Linked DNA regions of Neodiprion lecontei. Each later gene encodes a partner of the first gene's protein in a complex. Links are inferred from orthologs where the notes say so. Each region holds a gene or a part of one and is shown on either strand. Other genes may lie near its edges. The genes, in order: E3 ubiquitin-protein ligase Hakai and N6-adenosine-methyltransferase non-catalytic subunit.

What was found.
Region 2: E3 ubiquitin-protein ligase Hakai (region 1) and N6-adenosine-methyltransferase non-catalytic subunit share a complex: the UniProt entries of both Homo sapiens proteins name them as parts of the WMM complex. The link is inferred for Neodiprion lecontei from reciprocal best matches to the Homo sapiens genes CBLL1 and METTL14.

What each region holds. Positions count from the first base shown.
Region 1 is NC_060263.1:32,455,683-32,463,404, reverse strand, and holds E3 ubiquitin-protein ligase Hakai, read right to left. Parts: upstream 4,451-7,722; 5' UTR 4,315-4,450; exon of another isoform or gene 4,197-4,314; intron 4,113-4,196; 5' UTR 4,111-4,112; coding exon 4,009-4,110; intron 3,932-4,008; coding exon 3,620-3,931; intron 3,496-3,619; coding exon 3,307-3,495; intron 3,212-3,306; coding exon 2,528-3,211; 3' UTR 1,861-2,527; downstream 1-1,860. Other genes in the region: transmembrane protein 115, read left to right, coding at 1-55, 248-452; choline transporter-like 1, read left to right, coding at 4,789-4,899, 5,516-5,661, 6,297-6,688, 6,788-6,877, 7,096-7,235, 7,634-7,722. UniProt on the Homo sapiens protein: E3 ubiquitin-protein ligase that mediates ubiquitination of several tyrosine-phosphorylated Src substrates, including CDH1, CTTN and DOK1. Targets CDH1 for endocytosis and degradation.
Region 2 is NC_060260.1:28,912,526-28,919,906, forward strand, and holds N6-adenosine-methyltransferase non-catalytic subunit, read right to left. Parts: upstream 4,580-7,381; 5' UTR 4,440-4,579; coding exon 4,383-4,439; intron 4,275-4,382; coding exon 4,098-4,274; intron 3,870-4,097; coding exon 3,552-3,869; intron 3,472-3,551; coding exon 3,089-3,471; intron 2,987-3,088; coding exon 2,749-2,986; 3' UTR 2,525-2,748; downstream 1-2,524. Other genes in the region: protein bicaudal C, read left to right, coding at 4,982-5,026. UniProt on the Homo sapiens protein: The METTL3-METTL14 heterodimer forms a N6-methyltransferase complex that methylates adenosine residues at the N(6) position of some mRNAs and regulates the circadian clock, differentiation of embryonic stem cells and cortical neurogenesis.

The DNA.
Region 1 (7,722 bases):
CAGGCTTGGTAATTAGCTTACCAGGAATCGATCCTCACGATAGCGAAAGACGTAGGTATGTATTAGAAAAAAAGACACTTGAATTAATAGTACTAAGTTGACATTGCCTTGTCATGCATTTCTTTAAACCAAACTATACTATAAAATTTTATTAAAAATTCGAAATTGTACATAAATATGAATTAGTTAGAAATTATACGTTAGAAATGTTACTCTCAACATTTATTGTTTCTATGTTTGTTTTCAGACAAATAGCATTAAAAGCTCTTAGTGAGAGGTTAAGTAAGGATCACGCCAAACCTTGGCAACCAGATAGAAGTAAGAAGCATTCACCTGTTCCGCCAGCTGTATCAATCCCAATACCCGAATCAACGACACCAAAGCCACTGGCGTCTCCGCTAATCCCTCAGACCAGTGTAAACATACACAATCACCCGTCCACAAGCACGTGATCATCCAGAATTGACTGATTTCAATAATATTGTAAAAATTGGCAAAGGTTTTGCAAAATGATCTCATATGCGCAAGATTTGGTATACAAAGTGAAAAGTTTGTAGTCAAAGTTATTCTTTTTATGTGTATCCTAAAATCCCATTGAGAAGATTGAATCTCGTAAACTGAATAATTGCACAGTCAAAATATAGCGTGACCTCTACTTGTCACAATAATTCGAAAATCACAGAATTTACAAAGAAATTAATCAAACCTGATGAAAACCTTAATAATGTCAGAGAATTTTTCATGTCTGGACTTCCATTGAAAACTTAAACTCTTATTATTGTAGATGTCGATGAATTTCGAAGATCTACATTAAAATCAAAAGCGTGTTCTAATACGAGTTGGAAAACACAAGCTTAGAAAGTTTAACGTTCCTGCTATACTTTGTAGTATCGCTGCTCTTCTATTACAAAGTTCATATGAGAAAACGATCGATTTTGCGATTAACGTGGCTTTATTATAAAATGTTGCTGTAAGTTTTAACGGACTGTTTGACAGAAAATTATACTTCAACCGTGTTATATAGTCTCTCAATTCTCTTACAGTTAGAATTGCACTTCAAGCATTTCAGTAACCTCACACTCCAATTATCAGTACAAGATCGTTTCAATGCACAGTAACACAGAAATGCATCTGGTTACCGTAACTCATAGTAAGTGAGGATGGACAAATACATTGAGATCAGCCTATTCTTTTACATCAATCGAGGATAATAATTATGAAACCCAAATGATTCATTTCATCACTTTTCTTTTCAGCCTTTTAAAGATTATATCTGTCTTCCTGCAAAAGAATTATCATGTAATAAGTTATACGTGTGTATAATAATACAAGAACTTTTGTTGGGAGTTCTTACACAAGCTATCGCTGCACAAGAGACAACTTTTGAATTCTACAAGTTGTAGTTCTGTGACTTGCCTGTATGTAGGAAAACGGGTGACCTGATTCGTTCGGACTCTGAAGTGCACTGTTATGTCCAGCTTATGTGTCCAAGAGAATGATTTAGATAAAACCAAAGCATAAGCACGTGAAAATAAATACGATGGGATCAAGGTGCAAGAAACCCGGACATGTTATATATAACACGAAATAATTTTGTGATGGATTCAAATTGAAAAACTATTTTTATGCATAGTATAAATGAGTTCTTCAGAAACTATTAAAGTTTTAAAATGAAGTATCTTGACCTGATACTTATGCAGCGCTGGAATGTACTTCTAAAGAATTTTTATGTTTGGAATCAACAAAGATTCGTGTGGAGGCTGAGTGAGAATACAATTCAATGCGTTGCAAAGTATATGGCTGGGGTAACACTACATGAATAAATGAACATTCGCTAGGTAAAATGATGAGAAACTTAAGTAATATTATATAATATATTTAAATGTTAAATATAATTGATTTTGTAAATACATTGCATCCTGTCATTCTGTACAATATTATATCTCTCTGATTACAATTTCTTTACTTTTTTGCAAAGTAGGTACAAATTATTACTCTTAGGCTAGAGATTACTCAATATAAACTCGAACTATAAGAGAATGTGTATGTAGTGCAGGAGTTTTTGTTCGATTTGACTAAAAAACATATTCAGCTCCCAATATAATTAAAACAAAAATATCGTAATTTACCTGAAAACAAACTATCAAAAAAACTGCGCCATTCTGTACAGGTGCTCTTAAATAACATTTAAAAATAGAATACAACCAATTCTTATACAGATAGTTTTTTCACTAGTAGCCTATTAAAATACTTGTAAAAATATGAAAGTGTAAACGTAGTCAATCTATAGTGTACTCGATTTTGATATACTAGAAGTAATGTACGTATATAGAAACGTCATTTTTTGATATTAATACAAGTACACACATTCGCAAAGCAAAGGAAAAATGCATCTATAAGATTGAACAGTGGATAGCGGTAGGTCACTCAAACTTTATTAACACATATTTTTTCTAAACGGTAAACCTTGTCGCGGTAATTTTGACTATGTGCCGTACATGAGCAGAAAAGAAAAAAGACTCAATTCCTATCTATAAAACTGCTGTTGATGTTGGGTCCACTGAGGTTGCGGCGGAGGTGCCTGTTGCTGCGGAGGTGGAGGACCGTACTGTTGTTCTTGCATGTATGAGGTTGCAGGTGGTCTTATTGCAGTCGAACTTGAAGGACCATACTGCTGCTGCGAAGGTGGTGGGGCGTAGGTGACTTGCGACGGATGCTGCGGCTGAGGATAGTACTGTTGCGTTTGTGAAACAGGAGGAGGTACGTTGTAGCCTCCGTAATTCACTTGCGGCGGAGGAGGAGGAGGTTGATAATAATGATGATTTTGCTGATTATGCATGTCATGTGTAGTTATAGTGGTATCTTGGATGGGTACAGTTATTAGGTTCGTCCTCATCGGCGTATTGGTAGGAGGTGGGGCAGAGCTTTGTTGATAGTTTTGCATAGGGATAATAGGCTGCGGTCTGTGTTGCTGTTGCCGATGTTCAACCTGCTGTTGATTCACCATAGAATTAACTCTTGGATCATTTCCCATTATTGGCTGAACCATGTGAGATTGAACCTGTTTCATTCTACTAGTTTGCATTGAAACTGGTGGAATTTTTGTCATTTGTGTATCCATTTCTGGTTTAGAATGCAAGTACTGCTGGTCAACTTGCAATCCTTGAACCGGCGCAGAAGGAGCTGATATATGTCGATGATTGATGTGAGCCTGAGAAAGAAAATATATATCCTACTTGGTATTTCTTAAATATTTGGAAAAGAACATTTTGAGTCCTGCCTTCGCATCACTGTAAACAAACAAACCTGTAAATCTCTTTGACTTAGGTAGGTTCTTCTACATCCGGCATTTCCGTACCTAGTTCCACCATGAGTACACATAAACACTGTACCAAGCCCAGTCTGCTCTACTCTGGAAACCTTTTCCATACACCTTGGGCAGACTTTATCCTCTCTTTTAGCACAGGACAAGCAAAACACATGCTTGCAAGGTATCTAATCCAAATGAGACAACAAACGAATGAGTCAAATTTTGGTCTGATTATTATAAGGATACCCATCACTTCCTTAAATGAGTAAAAAAAAATACTGTCAAATTCGCTCATAATCAAACCCTTACCATACGTCCGTAAATAAGGATCGGTTTAAGACACTTGTCGCAGCAATGAATCATCGGATTTAAGACCTTTTCTCCAATAAGATTTACTCTATGGTCCCAACGAAGACGTAACATTGGTTCGGGAGGTCCTCGGTTTATAGTTGTAAAGGTCGGAGCTTCTAGCTGTGATATATCAGCTTCCAGATCAAATTGTTGCTCGATTGGTGGTTGCTGAGCTTGTTGAGGCTCCTGTTGTTCAGGTTCCACCCCGCTTGTTTCCATAGGAGTTTCTTCAGCCGCTTGTGGCACATCATCTTCATCACTTTCTATAATCTGGGGATTATGAGTTATAATGAAGGTGATTATGCGTATACCAGTTTTTTCAGTCATCTTTTATTCATAATAAACACCTTGACAGCTTTTTTCCCACGGCCCCTAGCTCGTCCCCTAGGACGGCCACGGGCTCTCCCTCGTGCTCTGCCCCTCATTCTTTTGGCACCATCTTCCTCCATAACTAAAACAACACGAATGAAGTATCAATGCACTATCAGTTCGGTTGCCCATAATTCTGAACATCAACTAGTGATAACCTGCTTACATGTGTTAGGTTAGGTTCGAAATGGAAGACATAAGTGAGACAGTACGATGTGAAATGAAGTTCAAAGCGAATCCTATCATCCACAATCCGTCTAATACAATATTTTTTAAAAACAGACCTTAAAATACTGGACGAAATGTTTACAAAGGTTGGATTTTGTAACAGAAAATATTTTATAACATCATGTTACGTTCATGTCGCTTAACCAACCTCGCGTATGCTACACTCCGTACGCACACGAGTTCGAAATGAAACTGACAATGATTGAACACCAACACAGCCAGTCGGCGAAGTGCGAACGACTTCACTGATCCCGCCGGATGCGATTTGTTTTCGTTGCCACGGCAACGATATAACGCGCAAATGGAATGTGATTCGATATAACACACACAACAAGTGATATAACAAGAATAGTTCAGGAACGCGTCCGGGCGGAGTGACGATCTTCATTCGTCAACAACAAAGGCAAGCGGCTGCCACTAGCTGGCAGTTAGTTTACTAGCCGAAGGCGAGCTCGGGATTAAAGTCAAGAGGCGTCAAAGCCGGATGGGCGTTGTAATTTTCTGGTGCACGATACAGAGGTTGTGAAAAAATGTCTTGCTGTTGTGGGGACGACGAAGACGAACGCCCTGAACCTACCCGGGTCCGCGGCTGTACGGATATTTTCTGGTTATGTCTTTTTATTCTGTTTTGGTTTTTAATGGTATGTATAACCTGCCGAGAGTAAGTCATTTTTCTCATTGTACAAGAGTAATTAGCACGTGACTCAGAATCTAATCAGACGTTTGACAAGCTAATTAAATTAATTCTGTTTAGTATTACAATACGTAAATCGATGTTGTAAACATTTTTCATGCTGGCTAAATGTCGTCTTCAAATTTTAAGAGTAATCCAGGTCCATTTGCAATTTTATTAACATTACTCCTTAATGAGTATTTCATTGAAAGTAGGTATTAATTGCCTAGTTGCAAAATTGTGCTCCCCTTTAATTTTATGTCATCTTCGTGATTGCCTTATTCTACGTAAATTTACAAGTGAACTCTACTTGTACAACGGCATTCACCATAACTTCTTTTTGTGTGTCGAATCACACAGAAATTTTATGCTACGAAAATTTCAGCTGTAGGAAATAATCCATTAATGAAAAAACGCAACACAAAATTGAATTGAGAGTAAAAAATTAACGTATTACTTGTATCACAGATGTCTTTTTCTTGCGGTTTAAATTATTTGGAAAATCATATTTGCTTAAGGGTTATAAATTAAATTAGAGTAAAGTTAATACGAAACTATATGCAATATGTATTTAATTTTTCTAGATATTGATAGCTGCATTTGCATTGGTTTATGGTAATCCAATTCGTTTGATAAATGGGTTTGATAGCTTTGACAATACATGTGGTGTAAAAAACAACAAGAAGTTTGGGAACATGGAACTGTCCGGGCAAGACACCAGTGATAAACCGTGAGTACTATATTTTTTAATTATTACAAAAGAAAGTTCTAAAACTATTGTTTAATTTGAATATTGCCAGTTCTACAGGAAAACTTATGGGGTAAATTATAAAAAATTGTCTTCAACCTTGGAAAATTTCAGCATTGAGATGTAAAGGGTTAGGAGTACGGATGCTAAATTTTAAAAGACTGTTAACTAACGATTGATCCTTCTTTTTGGCCACCTCTCAAAAATTTAACACAAAATAAAAAGAAAGATTGAATCATTGTTTGTTGCATTAGTTATTCTCACTTGCTGACTCTTTCACTGCTAAAATAGTATTGTTCTTGGAATCCCACGAGTAATTTTTGCACCCGTTTCCCATGCCTTGCAATGAGCTTCCGCGGATGTTGCTCAACCACATAATAGTTGCCTACTACTGAAGTACTATTTGGCCACAGTTATCTTATCATGGGAATCCATTACATGTTCACTCATTAAAAATGTAATCGCATCACACAAGTATAAATATAAAACAACTAATCGTACGTAACTATGTTAGACGATATGTGGTATATAAAAAATGCTTAATAAAGGTGATATTTTTGAAGTGTCATTGAGGTAAAATGAAATACATGTATAATAACATGAAATCGATATTATAGATACTTGTTCTTCTTGGATGTGGCAAATTTGAAGGACTCGTTGAAAATCTGTGTTAAAGAATGCCCGGATCGTAACATGGAAACAATGGAACAGGTTTGCCAGTTCTATAAAGATACAGGATCACAGCTGTGTCATGATAGACCAGGAAGTAAATTCAGCGCATGCACCAGTCAGAATTCAAAAGATAAGACCGGAGCGTGCCCAGTGCTTCCTGTTTATAATAGTACTGTCATACTGAATCGCTGCATTCCAAGAGCTATAGGGAAAGTTGCAGAGACTATAGCTTCCAACGTTTATGGATTAATCAATTCATGGGATGCAATTGAACAAATTTTAGGAGATTTATATAAAACTTGGAGAGAAATTGTTGCTTTATCTTTTCTTGCTTTTGGTAAATAATTACTTTTTTTACTACAAAATAATCCATAGGGTCGATATAAAATTCTCAATTAACAAAAATTCTTCTTACAAAAGTTTTCTTCTATTTCAGTGTTGTCCTTGTTCATGATCGCTATATTCCATTTATTGGCAAGCATCGTGAGCTGGATAGTAATGATCCTAGTCACAGTATCCTGTATCGGTGAGTTTTCTAACATGTCGAAAAATATATAGAATGCAAGCATAGAATAATCTAAATACTTGATGGTTTGCTTATGATATGAAGTTTGCAATTTAATATTATTATGCGAAATAACAGTGTGAATCATTTTTCCAAATGCTAAAGAAAACAGCGAACGAATTATATTGCATAGTTAAACATCTTTATCTAATACTTATCATTATATTCCTCAAAATTAGGTGGTACCGGTTTGCTGTGGTGGACATACATACGTATCAAAATTAGATTGGATGAAACAAATCCTAATGAGCTATTAGAAGAGTCCGTACGCAATGGAAAAGCATTTCTGATTTATTCAATTGTAGCAACTATTCTAACTGTACGTTTTTAACCTTCCTTATCAATTTTTTGTCAACGAGATCAGAATTTCATATTTTAGAGAAATTATCTAGTCTGGAGTAGTTGGTTAGAGAAATTTACCCTTTCATTCCCAGACGATACATAAGATATACATGAGATGTAGAATCCTTTTCTGGTAATATTTGTACACTGAATTCTTTTGTGCATTACTTTTCTACATGTGTATAATCTTTGCACCAAAACGACGTAGAATAGCGTTAAATTATTTATGTTATACAAAGATAATTTTTATTTGGATAAAGTTTACGAATGAATTGGAAAACAACAAAAAAAGAAACCCAATTTACCACCAGAATATAGAAATGAAATGGTGAACATTGTTATCTGCCTACTCAAAATATTGTATTAAAATTACAGATCATTTTACTGTTTCTGCTCTGTTTTCTACGCCATCGCATCAGTATTATGGCTCAACTGTTTAAGGAAAGTGCAAAATGTCTAGCAGA
Region 2 (7,381 bases), on another chromosome or scaffold:
GTATTGGATTCAAGTTTAAAAAATATTTGAAGCCATATTTGTCACGTTCTCGAATTTAAAATTTACCCATTCTATTCTTATATCCGATTTTGATAGGAATCGTTTATATTCGGTACGGGAACTATTTTCACATAAACAAATGTTGTTCTTCATAGGCTCTTATTAGACTGCTCACAATTACGACGATTTTAATGAATTTTATTGTATCTGATTAGGATAAACATTCATGGCCATGTGATATGTTTCCAGTGGCGCAATGCAAATATGAAATGATCATGCTTTAAAGTGTTATTGTTAACAGTTGATTATCGTCTGTGCAAGGGTGTTATAGTAAAATTAGGTGTTACTTTCTTGCAATATTCAGGCTTGACAGATTTTATTTTTTGCCAAGTCGAGTCATGAACGACGGCTACATAATTACAGCTCCCCCAGTTCAGTCCTTACATGTAATAAACAAGTAGCACAAAATCGTCACGTCGATTAATTACGTGACATCGAGTTATAAATTTCTTTCATTCAAGCTGCAATTGCGCAATTGTGTGTATTTAGAAAAATTCAATTAGCATATACAATTAATTTAAGTTAAAGTAAGCTAAGTTACAATTGTATCTTTTTGAAGACATCTCTTAGAATTCTATTATACACTGTACAGCATAGTTATATAAACTCGTCGTATATTTTTATACCAATCTTGATTTTTGCGCAGGTTTTTCTATGAATCCTTCACGTTTTGTTAGTAGAATGGACCATTTTATAAAATATACCTGCAGTGAAATATGCACAATTGCGCTGCTTTTTCATAATATGATACGTGAAACAGTGTGCTTCGAATTGATATTTGATTACATAATTTTTCATTTTTTTTTAAATAATGACGTCTCTTTTATTGTGTCAACCGATAGATTAATAATTAAATCTAGTATATGTAGTGTTTAATATACTTTTTACTCACTGATGAAGTAAGCCAAAATGTTGCTGAAATTGTTTACGCGAACGAATGCCACTTGGGATAAGTTTTGCCTTACTTCACAACTATGTTACAACAAATTATCGAGGTTTGGTTCGCAGAATTGTTCTGTAATTTTACTGAAACATGAAAACGTTACCTCATCGAATAGAAAATACCTGAACTCAGTTATAACATTAATAATTAATTCGATCTATGATAATAATTTGTTGCACTCGATTTGTTTAAAAAATTGTCTCAATGTAATTTAGCTACGTTAAATACTGATGAATTATGTGTTATTGTGAATTTACTCATTAGTGGAATTTATCAGACGAATTGCAGGAGTTCAGAACTTTGACAGAATCAAGATACATAGTCTCAAAATACCGATCATCTCTATTGCATTGAAAGTAATTCGTGATACATATTGTCAGATTCTTCCCAAAGTACTCGTTTGTAAATCCATATTAATAACAGATGAGAGCTGTGAATCAAGTATTTATACTTATTATGAATTACCTATTTTCATATTACCGTATTGTTCAATTCAACCTATAGAGTACAAACAAGTTGACTTGATCTCACATAGACTAAAAAATAAAAATTTCTTCTTTCCCGAAGGAATACAAATATGTAGTTTGTTTTTCTTAATCTATAAATTATTTCTGTGTAAGCAGAATATTCGAGGCCAATATTGGCTGTATTGCCAACACAGCTACACATAGATAATTCTAGGAAGGTGCAATACCATCCAGACTATCATATGTGTTTAAACGCTGTTAGACACATAATATAATTTTTTTCTGTGTTCAGAAAATAACTTATTCATTTTCCCTTCGTAGATTAACACATTAGTGGTAATGTTCCTGCAATGGTGTAGAGAGCAGTCGATGCACATTTGCAGAACATACTTGAATAACATACAAGTTTAGTGTGAAGGTGCACGATACCGGTGGAAGTATTAGGAAAAGCATATTTATACATATGTTTGCCGGTTATATCTCGTAAACATAACTTGGAGATGAGTTTTTGTTCAGCATCGAGCTATCGGTGGTTTACGTCATTGGAATCTATTTTATTCTTCTGTGTTCATCCTTATGTTTCTATTGGCGTCTTGCATCTCTAGCGTTATATTTATGATCTAACATGAGAGAATTTTATATTTTAATTTTTAACTCCGCATTTAAATAAACGAATTTGATCAATAATTTTCAGACTTATGATTTCAAGAAAATACTTTATTCTTTTTAGTTCGTAATCAATACAGCAATTTTGGAATGGTAAAAGATGTAGGCTTTTAACCATGCATTTTCTCCAGTCATTTTATTAGTATTATGACCAGTCGATGACAATGACAAATTCTTAAGAACATGAAGTAACGACAGTGTTTTGCTGAGTCCAAGCAGACAGAGCAAAGTACAGCTATTGCAACAGCCGGATATTGAATTCACGATGATTAATACCGTTAACTTGATACACATTTTTAGATATTTCAAACCCTGTTAAACAGAATTTGGTTGTGTAATGCAATTATACCTACTTACTAAAGAACAAAAAAAAAACAATTATCCAATATGAGAGGTTCAAATTCACTTTATTGATTCAGAAACGTACAGTATGCATTTGTAAACAACTAACAAGAAAGAATACTATTGAGCAGCATCACTATCAGTTGATGTAGCATGTTGTCATAAATAGGTTAATTGATAAAAAATTGTTCTTTTGTATTCGGCATGAGATATTTTTGTGCGTTCAAGTCGATAATCGTTAAAAACTTGTAATCTATTAGGAATTACAGATTATCTGCCTCTCCCCCGACCTCGATTGAAACCACCCCTCCCTCTGCCAGAGACTTTTCCTTTCGGTGGTGGAGATTTGGGTCTGAGTGCTTCTATTCTTTCGGTACATCCAGTTGTGATCTGGCTAGTTGCAAAATAGCTAGTGTACAGATCAGTGTTAAAATTCGTATTAGTCAATTCTGGTCCCACTGTAAGCCAGCCTGGCCTGATCGTACTGTCACGCCCAAATAAATGCAATCTGTTAAAGAAATAGTAGGGAAGATATAATAATCTCATTTGCTAGCAACAAGAAGTGAGATTTGGGTTTAACGAAGATCTTTGGAAATTGCATGGTACTTACCGTCTTCTGCCTAGGCAGAAATGTTCAATAATGTGGAAAATTTCAACAGGTTTCTCGATAGATCCGTACTCAGGTTCCTCAGATATAATCAGATCAATATCTACGTTTGCATGAATAAAATCACCATCTGTAGATCTTCGTACAGTCCCTTTAATTCCCATTAAGCAATGCTCTTTTGTTCTCTGCAAAACTGCTTTAGTATCTAAATTTTTACTGTGTCCAGGATTATTTATATTCGTACGTATCCAACAAATGTCTTCACATCTTCTGAAGCCCCACTTTCTCAAACAAAATCTACCCATGTCTAATCCATCGCTACTACCACACCAGAGGAATACAAAACTACGACTTGCCGCTACTTCGCCTATGTCGAGCTCCATGATCTGGAAAAAAATTATTATGACTCTTAGTTAAAGGTGCGTTGACCAGGTTTACTAAAAATTCATTACCGACCATGCCTAACCTGATCCCAATTCCAAAGTTGTACATTTGTGGCTCCACATGTCCTTTGATATTCTTCAAGAGGTGGCTCAATGAGAATAACGTCAAATTTACAATTTAGTTCTTTCAGATTGTAAGCAAGGAGATCGGTTTTCAGGTACATGGGGGGAGTTGCAGTGTCTGAAATTAGGTCATCCTTAAGTTTAATAAGCTCTCGCAACTTTGGATATTCTTCAAATCGATCCGCCAATCCTACATCTCGTATAAAATTCTGAGGGCGTTGTCCAGTGTCGATAAAGTGTTGGCAGTAGTCATTGTGGGGATTTGAGGATTGTGTTCCCTGATTGAAGAAAAGGGTATCATTTGGTATGAATGTGAATCCAAGTTACAACTGATTTTACACCTAATACAAAAGTTATGCAAGAGTGGGTGAAATATAGTTTACTACAAATTTCTGAGCGTTTTCCTAAAAGTACACAAAGAGGGTTGCTTTTTTTTTTTTTTTGTTTAAACATTATTCAATTACTAACACTGGAAAAAAAACTGATAGTATTAAGAGGTTGCATACTTTAAGAAACGTAGAAGAATCTTTATAGACTATTTCGTTGGTTGACACTGTGTCATCCTTCTGTTCTCTAAGGTCGTCATCCGACTTGACAGATGACATTTTTTCACGTTTCCTTTGTGCATCATTGATGTCTGTACCCAAAACTTGTCTAAGCTCATCCACGCTCGAAACCCCAAGCTGAAAATAACATAAATATTACAAATTATAACGTGTTTACATCAGACATAACCTCAAAATCAGAAACACGATTTTAGACTGACTGATCAGCGAGAAGTGTGTCCTCACCGTTTGAGCCAATAATTTCTTTCGCTTTTTAGAGCGCTCTCGAAGTGTCTGCAACATTATAAACTCCTTGTTATTTTAAATATTGTCTAAAGTAAAACTGAACAGAGGCACGAAATTGTCGACATGTAGCAGGTGGCCGAAAATACACCCATACGTAAGCTGACAAGCAATCTGTTGTGCTGCCAAGTGGCGGAGCCTACCGGAGAGCGGAACTAGATTAATTTCCAAGAATGCATGACATATATTGGATCTCAGAACTGCATCGGGGGGTTCAGTAAATTCAGTTTCATATATAGTTTGATGCGGGGTGCAGCGATCCGTTGTCCGTAGTTCGCTCCTTCGTCTGCTCTTTACATTCGGAACTGTCGACCTCCGAATGAATTGCGTAATTTATCAAACGCCGCGGTGAATCGTGAGAATGCAATTACTTCCGGTGCAATTCAAACTCGCGAGTGTAATAATAAATAAAGCGCTAGTCGCAAATTCATTATGTGTTTAGGCGAGTAGAGTGAAAAAATAACATCAAGTCTTGTTGTGACGGGCGCTTATTAATTCGTCGGACCTCGACACATGTGATGTAAAATGAATGAATACGTTTTATGGGACGAAATGCTGCGCGGCTATGTCGTACCTCTTCAAAAACGGTAAGCCGCTCTTTTATAATAAGCATGGTTGCAGGAAAAGTAGTTAATTGTAAGTGCATTATAATTGGCGTCCTCTAGTATTTCTTTCAGGGCGGAAGATGACTGTCATAAACAGTAATGTGATGTGCGATATAAGTATGTATGTATGCATTTCAAACTGTTATTTCCATAATTGCGGAAATATCATTTTCGAAGTGGATTTAGTTTATACTGTTCGTCCTTATACTTTGACTGTCTAAATTAGTGGTATAAATGTAATGACTGCGAAGTTTCTTATATATTCCCATAAATTTTAAAATAAATCGCAATTTTTTGATATTTATGTATATAACGTATACTGCTTGTCATCTGAAATTGAATCATTCGATATTTTCTCCTTAAAATTCACCGCTACCGAACGCCCGCACGCTCAAGGTCGTCGCGCCTAGTGCGCTTCCACGTTGTAAAGTGTAGAGCAAAGGGATTTCGCCTCTTAATTAGCTTTATTGCATTCGTCCATTTCATTTCACTTGCGTTTCTTACTTATGAGTCTTATAATCGCATATTCGCGCGCTCGATATGGTGGCATGGAGGTCCCCATGGTTCGATCGGCAGGTTTGGAGAAGGCCGCAGGGGTCTGAAACTGACCGCGACGGGTCTAATAAAGCTTAGTCCTTACATTCCCAGACGGTGTCAATTTGGACAATAAGGACAATTGTAAAATTATTTGAAAGTAACGGAACCCAGACAGAAAGCGTCTGGATTTGGGACCTTCCGGAAAAGGCCTGAGTTGCCTTCCCTTGCACCGGTGTGGAGAAGGGTGGCCTACGGTCAGGACTTGGAAAGCATTCGACTCAGGCCAGACGGTATAAAGATATCGGAGTGGACGGTTCTTGCGAACGGAGAGATATCAAGTCTGGTGATTTCTCAGTGTTGTCATTCTAGTGTTGTGAATTTGCAAATTCTGTTAACTGGTTTCGTGGAGGTCCCGGTTATTCCGACGCGCACCTGCCGCGACTTGTTCCAAGACGTTTACATTCCTCTCCAATTGACGTACATTGCTACGACATCCCGAGGGCTGTCCCATCCTGTAGGTAAGAGAGCTCTCTTAATTGTTTTAGCTAAGCGAATGATCATTCTCATTGTGACATCTTAACATAAGTTGGAAATTAAGCCTCCGGCTTGCAGTGGTTTGTGCGTCATTTCACGTACTTGGATTTTACTTGATTTGTTGAACAAGTTCACTATCTTTCATTGGCTTGCTCGGGCTTTTCCCCTCTACTCCGTGAGGGTTTTTATGCCTCGGCAAGTTGTTGTCCGTTGCTAGTTTGCCAGCGCAACTGCCGTGTTTTTATTTAAAAGACCCGGTTACTCATTCCAACCCGAATTCTTCCTTGTGTAGTATAAGAATAATTCACAAGGTATATGGTAGAAGAGGTAAATACCGACTGGAACACCATCCTGGTACCGAAAGCGTAATTACTCATGAGCATGAAGTTAGTAACGTTACTGCGAAGAAGAAATCTGACGGCTTCGTTCGATTTCATTCCACGATGGCTTATTTTGTGTTGAAATGACCCTTCTCTACAATTCCACGAACGTGCTTGAGACACTTTGACTTGTCATGTTGGTATAGGTCGATATTCAATTTCATAAGATTGCATTGATACTGGTTTTGATGGACAAAAAAAAAAAACAACGAACAACATTGAATTTACTTTTGACAAAACAAGAAGCGTTTCAGTGAATCTGTGAAATGTATAAGTTTTTCTACGAAAATAAGCCCAGACGTGGAGCGAAATCAAACGAAGCTATTAGATGTTTAACTAACCTAATCTGATTTGAAATGAACAATTGATGTCTAACGACAATTTGTTTTTCTTGAATTGCTTAACGAACATCACTATATCCTACAAATATATAGAAATTTGGTGAATTCTCAATGTTTGACTATCTTGTAATCAAGTCAACTATTACAGAGGTATTGAATTTCGCTTCACCGGCAATTTCCTTAAACGGTATAAAGATATTTTTCGTAATTCGTGTACGAAAAATTGAGAAATATTTCCAGGTTCTTTTGTGCCTACGAATATAATTCGGGTGGCCGGCCGGAAACCGGAAACGTAAAAAGTGTTGTTACGCCGCGCGGTAGGTTGTATATCGGTTGATAGATAACGAGTGTATTGAATTGTTAAACGTCGTATCGTTGATCAAAGGTGAGAAATGAATCACCTTGCTTCTCACCGCTGTCACATAACTGAAATATCCTTTCACATAGAGAGGCGTAAAAATTGACTCAAAGTCATTGAACATCATTGCGACTCCTGGTGTGGAATCACATGCGGATAGCGCTGAAGAAACGAAAAGCAAGCGTTG